Regions from separate parts of the Mus musculus genome. Here regions 2 and 3 are each reported to be linked to region 1. The links are microRNA targets in miRTarBase. Many come from high-throughput screens and were not tested one by one. Region 1 holds a microRNA gene; each other region holds the end of a gene's coding sequence.
The links. Region 1 holds the annotated microRNA mmu-miR-1894-3p (GCAAGGGAGAGGGUGAAGGGAG, at 2,543-2,564, opposite strand). A microRNA usually pairs through its seed, bases 2 to 8, with sites in the 3' UTR of a target mRNA and lowers its output. Matches are read on the target gene's strand: a 7mer-m8 pairs with bases 2 to 8, a 7mer-A1 pairs with bases 2 to 7 and ends in A, and an 8mer does both.

Region 1 (4,178 bases):
TTATTTTGAAAATCTTTTAAACTTCTTAAAGTATTTGGCTTTCAATAAAGACACAAAATTACATCCACCACCCTGGCCCTAGAATTCTGGCCACTGTAAGACTCAGGTTCTCCAAGGTTCCCTAGAAATAGAGAGCCTTGCATTTTTCACCTCCCACCTAAGGCCTTTTTACTAATCCCTGCTCACTAGACATCAGGACCCAGTGGTGGACTATTCAGATCCCAAGGTAGGTGCACTGCAGAGGCACCTGGCAAACTGCTTAAAAGATAAAAAAGACGTGTGGTAAATAGACATGTGGAAGAGGCCCTCCCATTCAATCAGAAGTCCAAGCAATAATGAGAATCCACACCCAGCAGAAAATGAGCCCTGCTGTACCCAAGTCACGGTAGGACAGCAGGACAAAAGGCTTATAAACTCTGTCTAGAAACTCCACCCAGGACTTAAAATAAAAAATGAAAAGTATATGAAGAAACTGTCAAAGACTTGACTTTGAAAAAGCTGGGGAAAGAGATAAAGAACCAGACACCCAATACTGCCCTGGAGGGCGTGGCTCGCAACATGCACGGCAGCCCCAGCACTCAGCAGGGAGGAAAAGAGGACATTCCTTTCCTCGATGCTTTAACAGAATTTCTTTTTAGGAAGGAAGGAAAAAAGAAATTCGAAAAGGTGGCTCTTTGGGAAAAAGAAAGGTTGTGAAATGTAATACCAGAAATGTTTTGCTTACCAGAAACCGTAGCTTGACTCCCCCTGCCTCGAGTTTAAACTGCAGCCTCCTTTCCTAAAGATTCACTTCTCATCCTAGTGCCAACATACAGGAACTAAGCAACTGCAGGTGATGGCACTGAGCACAAAGAGTTTATCCCCAAACTGAGAGGTGAGAATAAGGATGGTTTACAAGAAAGTCCTACCAGTACCCACCCTTTCCCCAGACTGTTACAAAGCAACCAATACCCAGGTAGTGTAAGGACCCTTCCTGAACAGCATGGCACACTGCAGTTCCCTCAGGCCCTGCGTCTTGCCCAAGTCTCTCTAAAGCAGTCGGGGTTGAGCTTTTTTCCACCCCTGTCCACTGAAGCACGGAATAGGTCCAAGCAGTTGTGATGAGTGGAAGGTGAAACCAAGGCAATGGGCTGACTTTTAACACAAAACCTAGAGCTACATACACAAGGACCTGGACAGCCTCCATCCCTAGTGCTCATTAAGCTTTTATCCCTGGAAGATTTATCATATAAGATAAAAGAAACAAGAAAAAAAAAAAAAAAAAAAAAAACCCAAAACGTATTCTCCCCAACAGCAATCTGCAAAGGGAGAGAAGACAGCTGCTTGGGGGCGGAGTCTTCAGAGGAAGCAAGCTGATTACATCACCTTTCACGGTGGCTCCACCCCCTTGACCAAGCGTCTAGGGAAGCCCTAAGCTGACTGGCAAAGGAGAAAAACAAAGGAGAGGGACGCCATTTTGTTATGGAGAAGATTCAAAATTTAAAAGGCCGGGCAGATCTGCCGGTAGCTTTACTTAACACTGTAAGGCACTAAGTTAAAAAAACAAAAACAAAAAACAAACAGAAGCCATCCCTCTGACCACCACCCTCAACTTGACCTATCTTAAATCAGTTTAAGAGCCTATTACTGAAAATAAAATCAATTAATATACAATTTTCTGCGGGATAAGAATCTGAATTTGCAACTAAAATTCAACTTACTACCGCCGACCATCCCAATCCTCCCTACAAAAGCCAAGTGGTAGGACTTGGACCCCTCAACAAATAGGACCGAGGGGGGAGGACAGGAGAAAAATGGGTCAAGACACAACCTGCAACGCCGCTTGCAAGACAAAAGGACAAGCAAGGAAAAGTCGCCATATTTGAAGCAGGGAGGAAAAAAAAAATCTTTTAACGACACAATCTTCTAGAAAGATAGCATTCAAATGCACTAATGGCTTTTAAAATTATACTCCTGAGTTCCACATTTCCCAACCTTTCCACCCTCTTAGCTGTATCCACCACCCACTAAAAAAGTATCAAGTTAAAATGTTAATCACTTTTGCCTTTAAATAACCTATGCAAGCTGAAACAATCACAAGACATTCTTTACCTCCCCAAATGTTATTGTATGTACTTGTTACTATGATTTTTGCCCTAAATTTAAGTGTCTTGCAATCTTTATTCCTAGATTGCCACCTATTTTAACCACACAATATATCCCAAGCAAATTACATTAAAATAGAGAGGATTTAACAGTCACTTTAAAGACATAGCCAGCTAATATTTCTCTGCCCATCTCCTTACCCTGCAATCTTTATGTACAGATTGCTTATTAATCTGGCAAATTGAAAGGCGTTCTGCTTGTCTCACACACAAAGAAGTGGGACTTCTGGGCCACAAGATCCACCATCTTTTGTATGTGAGCTCATTAACCCTTTTGAAGACTGCTAACCAGAGGAAGGTAACCATTCCTCCTTATTATCGCAAAGGCTTATGCTCTGGCAGTCTGGAAATCTGCTGGATTATCAAGGGTTAACCGTCAAAATCCTCACTGGCTGGCCCTCCCTTCACCCTCTCCCTTGCCTGCTCCACAGCAGGGAAGAGGCAGGTGGTAGGGGAGAGAGAACAAAGACTGTTTAGACCCACAGGACCTTTAATGGAGATTTAAGAGACCCGATTGGTCCTTCTCTCCAGTACTCTACATTTGTTCTATGGTCTCATTTCTTCCTCTCATTATTTTTGGTTTCACAACGGGAAACGTTGATTTCTTGTTCAAGGCTGGTTTTTGAAAATTCGACACTTACTATCCAATTTTTTTGCGACGTCAGCACCTCGGGCTCAGGGGGGAGGGGTAAAATTTTGGAGGAAAAAAAATAAAGCAACCAACCAGGACCCAAACTCAGTTACTTGTGGGGCCTCATTGGATCAAAAAGTCTCTTTTAAAAAAAGTAAAGACCAACTCAGTTTTCATTTCCCCCCCGCCCAACTCCATTTAGGGAGAGGGGGTCGTTGAAAAAAAAAGTCTGAGTGGATTCCAAAACGGAAATGCTGGATGAGTGAGATTGGGTAGGTTTGGGCAGGGAAGGTGGTTGATTATTTTTGAAGTTATGTGGTGACGGTCCTTCGGCCACAGATCTCAAGTCCCAAGCAGCGTGGGCTGGTGGGGTGGGCAAGATAGGTGGGGAGGGGCAGAAGACACGAGTGGTTGGGCTGGTGGCTGATTTCCCTTTCCCCCCTCTCAGGATCCTTTCAAGGGTTTAGATGTTGCTGAGGCTTGTTTGTTTTCCTGATGGCCGGCCTGTCTTTCTCCGAGAAAATTCAACCTGGGGTAAAAGGAACACAAAAGGAGGAAGGTGTAATCAGTACGGGTCGCCTTTAAACGTTTCAAAGTTGTCGCAGGACGCAGCCGCATTAGGGAAAAACGTGGCTGCCCATTAAATCCGAAACCACCCCGTTCCCCCGGCCCGCTCTCGGCAAAACGTTACCCTCCAAAGCGACGGAGCACCCAAACTTACCTCTAAACGAACCCCAGAATGGCGGCCGCCCGCTCGGGCGGAGTCTTTTATACCCGGCCACCGCCCAACGCACCCTAACGTGATGGAGAACCGCCCTCGCCGGGACACATTGTGCGCGAGGCGAACTCTGATTGGCCAGCGTGCGAGCCGGGTCGCCCGCGGATTGGACGTCCCTCCTCCACCTTCCCGAAGCCCCCTTCCCTCGGTTCCCCTCTTCCGTCTCCTTGCTATCACCTCTACGCCAGCGCGTGATCGCCGCGTCCGGCACCTCCCTTTCCTCTGCCTCCACCACTTCCGCTCCGGCGACCCGGGGTCGCCCTCGGTTGGCCGAAACGGCCCGACGCATGCGCACTGGGAGCACCCTGGTTAAAATCGCAATCAAATCTGCTTTCATGTTAGACACTAACCATGGAATCTAGGATTCATCGTGACTGGTCCGGGAGAAATGCAATTTTGAAGGCTGGTTCGATTGTGACGCAGTTTAAATTCGCGTCTGTGGACCCCGCCCCTTGACGCTTCCGCCCTTAGACATGTGAGCAGCCGCCTTCCGCATTGCGGGGCGTGTCCTTGGCCCACCCTAGTGCGTGTCCCGAGCATGCGCAGTCGCTCTTCCGGCAGGCCGTACGTCCGGTGTGCGTCAAGATGGCTGCCCCCTTGCGGCACACGCTTCTAAAGCTGGTTC
Region 2 (4,178 bases), not on the chromosome of region 1:
TTTCTTGAACCTTCAGATATAAACAGTAGTAGTTCCTTTTTGACTTGGATTCATATGCTCTCTGGGTTTTGTTTTCCAGGCAACTTTCCACCGAGCAGGCCGCGCTGCAGGAGTCCCTTGAGAAGGAGTCGAAGGTCAACAAGAGACTGTCCATGGAGAACGAGGAACTTCTGTGGAAACTGCACAACGGAGACCTGTGCAGCCCCAAGAGATCCCCCACCTCCTCGGCCATCCCTTTCCAGTCCCCCAGGAATTCTGGTTCCTTCTCCAGCCCCAGCATCTCACCCAGATGACGGCTTCTGAACGCAGGAGACTCTCTGAAGGCACTGAGGTGCGCTTCTGCGGGACTGACCCGAAGTTCAGAGTTCATGGGAACTCGAGTTGCTGCGTTAGCTCTCTGGAATATCCCCAGGATATCGGGAGAGCAGCCGCCAACCGTTTCAGCTACGTACGAATAGAGAGCTCCAATAGGAGACTTTTAACTTGGTCCAAAAGCCTCCTCCAAAAACAGATTTCGGAACTGAAGTGGACATAGTTGCACAAAGCACTTACGGAACGAGGGAACCTTGTTCTTTGCCTTCCTTCACCTAAGCATAGGGGAAAACTCTCAGGGCCCTATTAAGATAAAGATTTATAACCTTTATAATGTTCTTCACCAGAGACACCTTCTTGTGATTTTTATTTCAGTCTGACTGTGGGCAAGGGGGGTGTGTGTGTGAGTGAAATGGGTGTACTGGCGTGTCACGTGACTGTCATAGCCCCGCCCCCTGCTGTGTATTAAAAGTCAACAGCTGTATATAGCTTGGCCTGTATTAACCAAGTCATAATCGGCACACGAGCGTCAACAAAAGCCATAGAAGAGAAAGCAATAGTGCTTGAATTTCCCCCCAACTCATCTCAGCACTGTGCCACGGCAGGGCTCGGGCAAGACAGGAAAAGCCTTTGGTTTCTTGATGACTGTACATTTATTTCTCTGTTGTTAGTTTTTCCATGTTCGGCATTATCCGTTGATAGCAGTTTTTTTTTCCCCCTGTAGATTTTCACGAGCCTAATTGCTATACTCTGATTCATTTTCTCAGGCTATGAGCAAATGTAGTTCCCTAATTTTTCTAAATACAAATCTGTATAAAGAGTAAGGGGGCAGTACCAATGGATGTTTCTGGTTTATTTTTTTCCCTTGAACCCAAGCTAGCTTCATAGCGCTAATCCTCCGTCTACCCTCCTGTTGTTCTAACCTCCGCCTTGCCTTCTCCTCCATGTAGAGCCACGGAAGCAAAGCGCCCTCCTTCCTACCCACAGAGTGTGCTTTTCCAGGGCCAGTTTATCTTGGAGGTGCTGAACCTGTTTCCCAAATAAGCTAAGCTCTGGTTCTGACACTACACAATTTTAGAAACCCCGGGGGGGAAACCAGTAAAGGCATTTTAGCATGTACTAATCCACATGAGCACAGAGTTAAGCCAACAGTTCTGTGTTGAGTAGATCCAAGAGCGGGAATGCTGACTTGGGCCCCTCTGAGCATTCTTCCAGCCACTGGAATGGAACAGAGTGGCCAAAGAGTGAGAGGTATGGCTTCTGCAGCTCCTTCACACTGCATTCAAAATTCAGATCTTCGCTTACCATCTCCCTAGGCTCCAAGGCTCTGTGAAAGTTAGAAGGATAGCTGTGGCTCCCCACCACCCAACCCACAAACTTCCCTGTGCATGCCGGCATTGCGATGTCAGTATTTACTAATTCATGGTCAATGCTGCTCAGATAACCCCTATAGCGAGGACAGATTCAGGATACTAGAGGTGAGTCATCCTAGACTTCTGCACTACAGAGCTAACTGATAGTCATGATGCATGCTTTTTATTAGGGGTTGTGTTTGAAGTCTCTTATCTCCAATAGTTTATGATGTATGTAACCTACCATGTTTGCTCCCGATAAATAGGAATGATTGCAGCTTCACTGCCACCTCCTGGAATAGCTCTGCTCCTGGTCCCAAGTTGTTCTCAATGATGTTAGCCAAAGTCAGGTTTGTCATTTATGCCCTAGTTATGGTAAAGCTCAAGTGTTGACCTGCCATCCCTCATACCACGTAGATGTCTGGGAAGTCAAATCTTACAGCAATTAAAATGCCTAGAGAGCATTTAAGGGTTTTTTTGTTTTGTTTTTTAAACCAAACATTTTATGTACAATACAAAATTGTTGACACATCGTTTAAAAAAAATGTGGGTGTGTGAACAACTGTAGTTTATAGCAATGGGAAAGTGTATTTTACTTTGATCAAATAAATAATGCTGGAATATTCAATGTAAGAATGGCAGCCTCTGACATACTTACTCTTCAAAGCGTTAAGTTATATGCTCCCCCTTCTCATCCCTCCTTAGTTAAGGCAGCCAGGCGCCCTATGCTATTATACAGAACTTAGAACCCAATGCCAAAATTTGTTGTGGCTGAAATTGGCTCACAGAGCTTGAGTTTAAGATTAAGCTTTTCAAATTCAAAATACATGTGTCAGAGAACGAAACTTTGGCTAGTTTGAATGATTCTTCTGCAAGGCGAAAAGAAAATTGGAACAGCTGTGGTCTTAAGTGTTTTTTCAAGACCGGTCTTAGCCAAAGCTGAATCTTCTTCAGTCCATTCATCTATGTTATATTAAAGGCTAAGGTGTTAATAGTGTACATGCAGTTATTTTTGAATAGAGGGGTTTAAATCAGTACTCTGAGTGTGGCGATTTCAATGTAAAAAGATGTGATTTTGATACCTTTATAAATGAACTTGTGCTAGCTTTGATAAAGTGACATATCTAAGCATTTGAATCTTGAGTCCTTGCTTTTGAGTAAGCCGTTGAACTTGGCTCAAACATCAAACAGAATACTAAGCAACACAAAGATCACTGTCAAGCCCTTCTGGATGTACATGCTAAATGACACAAGTACTTAGCTCACTTTTTTTTTTTTTTATAAAATCTTGCTCATTTAATAGAAACGATTGATACAAAGTTGTTGACATGTTTTCTCAGTATAAAAAGTAGAAACATGGCTGAGTCAAAATACATACTTTAGTTAGGAAAGTTTATACTTCTATTAATAGACTAGTGACTTCCTTTTAATTCGGATGTCTGTCTGACCCACTGGCAGGGGTTGGTCCTTGGCCTCCTATAAAGCACCTGGAAGCTGTGTGTGCAGATGGGCATCCCATTGGTCCACTACTCTTCACTTTCCAAATCAGGAAAACTCAACAGTGGTCGCTACTGTGGTCTGTCCTCGGAGATTCTGAGCTGTGCATATGTAGTAGCCCGCATCAATGGTCTCAAAGTCTTCCACGATAATGACACTCTGGGAGATTCTTGTGGTGTGTCCCAGTCCTCTGTGAATCAGTCTCCAGGTGTCCTGGATGGTCACAGGCCTTTCGTCCTGGTTAAAGATGGCACACAGACTAAAGTCACATTGACAGCTGCTTCCCTCACTCAGTTCCCATCCACCAGGCCCATTCAGTACAAGCTCACAGAAGGCTGGTTGGTATGCTGAGCTCACAAGCGGAGGGTTTTTGTTTTTGATTGCATAATTACTCAAGGCTGCCTTTCCCTTCCTCCACTCCTCCCCCAAGTGGGGTCTTGAATTTCAGGATGCTGTTTTTGTGATTTCTTTTTGCTTTTTTTATATGTAAAATGAATTATTTTGGGCCTCTATGGGGGACCAGCATAAACATATCTATATGAGCAGCATCTTTTCCCATTGTGTCACCCTCACACTGCCAAGTGGTTCTTGTTTATGGAACTTAAGGTCAAAAGCACTGACTCTGTAAGTGAAGAAGAGGCAGGAAAGCAATTAGGCTAATGTTCCTTGAGACTACAGAGGGAGGCCAGTTGTACCAAGGAAGGCTAAGATAATGCCCTAGGCAGCATGAGCATCTATTCTAGAGGACGGTGACTTGTAAGATCTATTTCAGGCAGTTGCAGCAACGAGAACAGTGTTTTCTAAATTCAATTGATAAGGGTGATTATAGTATCACTTAATGCTTTTTCTCCTAATAACAGCAATATAAAGGGTCACTCTATGGAAAAGCAAGAATGTCTAAGTAGAACAATGTATTTAAAACAACCAACCTAACATCTAGATGCTGGAAAGCTCTGCCCTCCTGGGATCCTTATTTTCCACCCCTCACAGGCTAAGCAGAGCACAGGCTACCTAGAG
Region 3 (4,178 bases), not on the chromosome of region 1:
GGAGGTTGTGGGGTCATAGATAGTAGTTAGGCTTAGACTAGGTTGCAAGGATGAGGTTAATACTCTTGGAAGAAGAAACAGACAAAGAAACTCAGGAAGGAAAAGCCATATGGTTCATGAAGGGAAGGTAGATGTCTACAAATTAGAAAGACTCTAAATGTGCTAGTAGTTGCTTGAACTTGATCTCAGTCTCCAGCACTAAGCATCAAATGGTTGAGTCTAAGTCACCTGACATACGGTATCTGTTATAGCTGTCCAAGATGACTAACTTGGAGCATTTTCCAGGACACAAAACTCTGAGTGGTAAAACCCAGAAAAGTCTCCAGCACATGGGGCAATCTGGTCACTCAGGTCCCGGCTCTCTTTGTTCTCAAGAAAGACAATGTAGGAAAAATAGTTCTGGTATAATGTTTATTTAAATAGTAATCTTAAAAAGGCTTTATACAAATCATATAAACACAGTCTGACATTGTTTTATTTTTTACATTGAAGAATCACAGTAAAAGCTCTCGAGTTCCCGTGATCTGGCTCAGCCAGTGAATGGTCAAATACCTTTAACCGCACACCCTGGAAAAGCTTAATGTTCCCCTTGTTTTCTTGTCATTCATGCTCATTCCTTGGACCCTCATCCCTGTCGACTCCCCATTCCTGCAAGAGAGAGCAAGCAACCCTGTGGCCCTGTGGACCAGTTAGTCCGGGAGAGCGTGGAGGTAATGTGTCATTCAGTACAAGGCAAAAAAGGAGATCAATACTGTGAATTAGATTTCCCAAAGGGAACAATTCAAGGAGACAGGCTGGCTAGCTTACCTGCAGATAGAGATAACAGATTCGTCAAGGTGTCCTCTGGCTAAGTTAGAATCAGACTCAGCTGTCTTTCTTTACATCTTACAACAGACCAGCCTCCAGCCTTGGTGAGGTATCTACATGTAGCCCCGGGGACCCTGCTTCTTTTCGGCCCTCAGGACTCACCCAGAGCCTCAAATCAGCCAAAGTGAAGTGGATGCAGGACTTGTAGAGGAATGCAGGTTGAGTTGCACATAACTTTAGACAGGGCTGGTCTTGGGGGGGGGTGGATTATGGTAAATGGTCCACTGGGCATGTGAGGGCAGGACCCCCGGAGTGGGCACTTCTCTCCTCCTTAGAAACCCCCAGCTTTCTGAATCCTAGCTGCATGGGAGGGTGAAGAAGAGGGTGAGCTAAATACCAACTTTCTTCTACTGCACGCCCAGCTCAGAGGGCTCCTAACGCTATGCCCCCCTGGGCTAGACAAATGAACTTTTCACCTCTACCACTGTGCCAACGAGTGCCAAGATCAGCAGTAACACCCAGGCTCTAGGTCAAAAATCACAACACCAGCACTGAGTCCCACGTTACCACTCACATACACAGTAGATACAGAGAACTCAAGGGTGCGACACACACACACACACACACACACACACACACACACACAAACACACACACACACACACACACACACACACACACACACACACACACACACACACGCGGGAATAAATAGATGTCGGCATGACTGTTCCCCCTCTTCATACAAAACACTGCGACATTACCATCTGAACTAGGGTTTTCATAAGTTAACATTTAAAGGGACCACAGCCAGTCCCGTCCACCCTCCCCCTTTTGCCTGGGTGCAAGACAAATGAAATTGTGGGTGATCACAGCAGCAAAAAAAACGGTCAGACAGTTTACCACTGATATGCAACAGTCTGGACATACTGGTGGGGCTTAGACTGTATTTCTAGGGCACAGACAATCTTTAGGCATTAACAGAAAGTCAAGATTTGGATCTTGATGAGGACAATCTTATCCTTCACACAATTTCATTATCTTCCTGATGCCTCCCTTTCTGGAGTCATCTAGGGCTCTGATTTTTTTCCCCGGGTAGCCAGACTCAGTCCACTGTGGCTCAGCCGTGGGTAGGGGGGCTGGGAATGGAGTCACTGGGGCAGGAGAAGCAGGAGGAGCCTTAACTTGTGAGACAGTGGTGATTTCTACCTAGAGGAAAGGACATTTTTCTTCATTGTTTTTCAAGGCACTTAATAAAAAACACATGAACTGCTGTGTGTGTGTGTGTGTGTGTGTGTGTGTGTGTGTGTGTGTGTGTACGTACATGGCACATATGTGTATGAATAAGAACTCAGGTCTCCTGAGGTTGAAGCTGTGTGTAAGCTTCTCCATCCATAGAACTTGCTGACTTGTAGGTAGAAGTGCATGTCTTTGCACTTATATCCCTATAAGGATGTAGCCTCCCACAAGAAATCAATGTTCTTAACCTATCAAGGAGACTCATTCAACAAAATGTCTCTGTCCACACTGGTCATTCTTCCCAATACAGGCTGCGTTTCTCTCTCTTCCTTTGTTATTCTTTCTCTCTGCTCTGAGACTAAAGAATAGAGACTGCAAAATCTCCCACTTCCTCCCCCCCCCCCAAGTATGTGTGTGTGTGTGTGCACATGAGCTGCATATGAGCATGCTGTGTGCATGTGAATATATGTATACGCTGTAGAAGAACAAATAGGAGGGAAAAGAAAAGGCAAAGCCACCAGCTGAGACCCTACAAGGGACATCCCACAGCCACAAACTCTGGGTCTAGATTAAGGAATGGCACCCAGTCATCAAAGCATTTTAAGGCTTGTCTGTGTCTAACCATAGAGGTGTGTCTATGGGTTCTGGTGTATGAAGTTTCTGTTATGTTTTACTTTAAATCTTATATAAGAAAGAATTGTTCAAGCTGACCCTAAAATGGCAATCTTCCCCTGGATTAAAAAAAGCTAAAGGCAATAACATCCTACTTCAATATGCTAGGACCGGAAACGGCAGCTCCTAGGGTTGGCTGGCAGAACCCGAACACACCCCAGCAAGTCTCTTGAGTTGGGAGACCATCTGAGGGTGAGCTAAGCTGGGTGGCTTTTGTTTCTTAGGTTCCATTTCTCAGGATGGAAGGGCTGAAAAGCCCCTTTGCTTTTCAAGTGTTGACTAGAAAGAGATGTGGAGAACAGGACTGACCTCTCCACTTTCTGCCCCGGATAAGCCATCCTCTTCTGCCTCTTTGAGTTGCTCACAGACAAAAATAAAATAAAATATAACAATAGCAATCATAATCATAACAAACCCACAAAGGAAACAGAACTGTGACTCCGAAGAGATGCGCTCCTGTCTGTGTCCCTGCAGAGAACACGGGCCCGGTTCCTGCATTCACTTGGCCACCACAGTCCTGGTGGGCAACGATCCCCTTCACAGCTGCATCTCCCTTTCTCCCTAGACTGGCCTGTCTGTCCTGTCCATACCTTCAGTATTCTGGAACACTTTGATCCAGATTATGGCATTCAGTTTCCAAAGGGAAAACAAAACAAAACAAAACAAAACTGTAATCTTCGCTAGCCCCTCTCACTGGAATGAAACGCCAGAAGCGATCCAGACACAATCGGTCATGCCTCCGAGCAGCACTTCTGATGATTGATCTTGACCTTGTGCTTGAGGCCATCGTAGAGCTCAAAGTTGTAGTTCTCCAGTGTGGTGCAGCTCCTCGAACTCAGACCCGAATAGGAGCAGGTGCAGTAAAGGAGGAGGCCCGCACAGGTGGCCCCCAGCAGGACCCCCAGCGAGCTCATGGCGATGATGGTGATCAGAATGGGATCTAGGGTGTACAGCCAGCTCTTTTCTTTGCCAGATGAGGGGTCACCAGCCCCTGAGGTAGAGGAAGAAGAGTTGCTCCAATCTCCTTCATATTCATCTACGACACAAAATACACAAGAGTGTAGGCATGGAGACAAACCCGAGGCTCCCCAGACCCAAGTCACTTTAGGGCTTAGCAGTAAACAGCAGGCACTTGGGAACCTTGCTATATCCTAGCTGTGCCATTTGAAGCATGTAACCTAAGCCCTTCTCTGACTCCAGTTTTTCATTGTAAAGTGAAGATGGCAATAAAATGGCCTCCCTGGGTTATTAGGAGGCTTAAGTGAATTAATAATTGTCAAGTGCTTGCATCCTGGCACAGAATAATTGCTCTCTCTGTGGCTCTGGCTCTGGCTCTGGCTCTCTCTCTCTCTCTCTCTCTCTCTCTCTCTCTCTCTATATATATATATATATATATATATATATATATATATATATATAATATATTACATATATTATATATGTTATATATAATATATTAT

Region 2: the mRNA of Mtus1 is a reported target of mmu-miR-1894-3p. Seed matches in the 3' UTR shown: 8mer at 1,174-1,181.
Region 3: miRTarBase lists Nrp2 as a target of mmu-miR-1894-3p. Seed matches in the 3' UTR shown: 7mer-m8 at 2,579-2,585 and 7mer-A1 at 1,404-1,410.

Annotation. Positions count from the first base shown.
Region 1 is chr17:35,916,324-35,920,501 of GRCm38, reverse strand. Mir1894 (microRNA 1894) reads right to left here and starts at 2,613; the gene lies at 2,533-2,613. It overlaps Mrps18b (mitochondrial ribosomal protein S18B), which reads left to right and starts at 4,062. Exons shown (of 7, transcript NM_025878.2): 1 at 4,062-4,178. The coding sequence starts at 4,139. It overlaps Ppp1r10 (protein phosphatase 1, regulatory subunit 10), which reads right to left and starts at 3,306. Exons shown (of 19, transcript NM_001163818.1): 1 at 2,786-3,306.
Region 2 is chr8:40,989,535-40,993,712 of GRCm38, reverse strand. It overlaps Mtus1 (mitochondrial tumor suppressor 1), which reads left to right. Exons shown (of 14, transcript NM_001005863.2): 14 at 80-2,801. The coding sequence ends at 293. Pdgfrl (platelet-derived growth factor receptor-like) reads right to left here. Exons shown (of 6, transcript NM_026840.3): 6 at 2,931-3,398. The coding sequence ends at 3,210. Among named protein-coding and RNA genes, the nearest start is that of B430010I23Rik, 26 kb to the left of the region's middle.
Region 3 is chr1:62,814,909-62,819,086 of GRCm38, reverse strand. Nrp2 (neuropilin 2) reads right to left here. Exons shown (of 17, transcript NM_001077404.1): 17 at 395-3,754. The coding sequence ends at 3,450. Among named protein-coding and RNA genes, the nearest start is that of Gm35120, 20 kb to the left of the region's middle.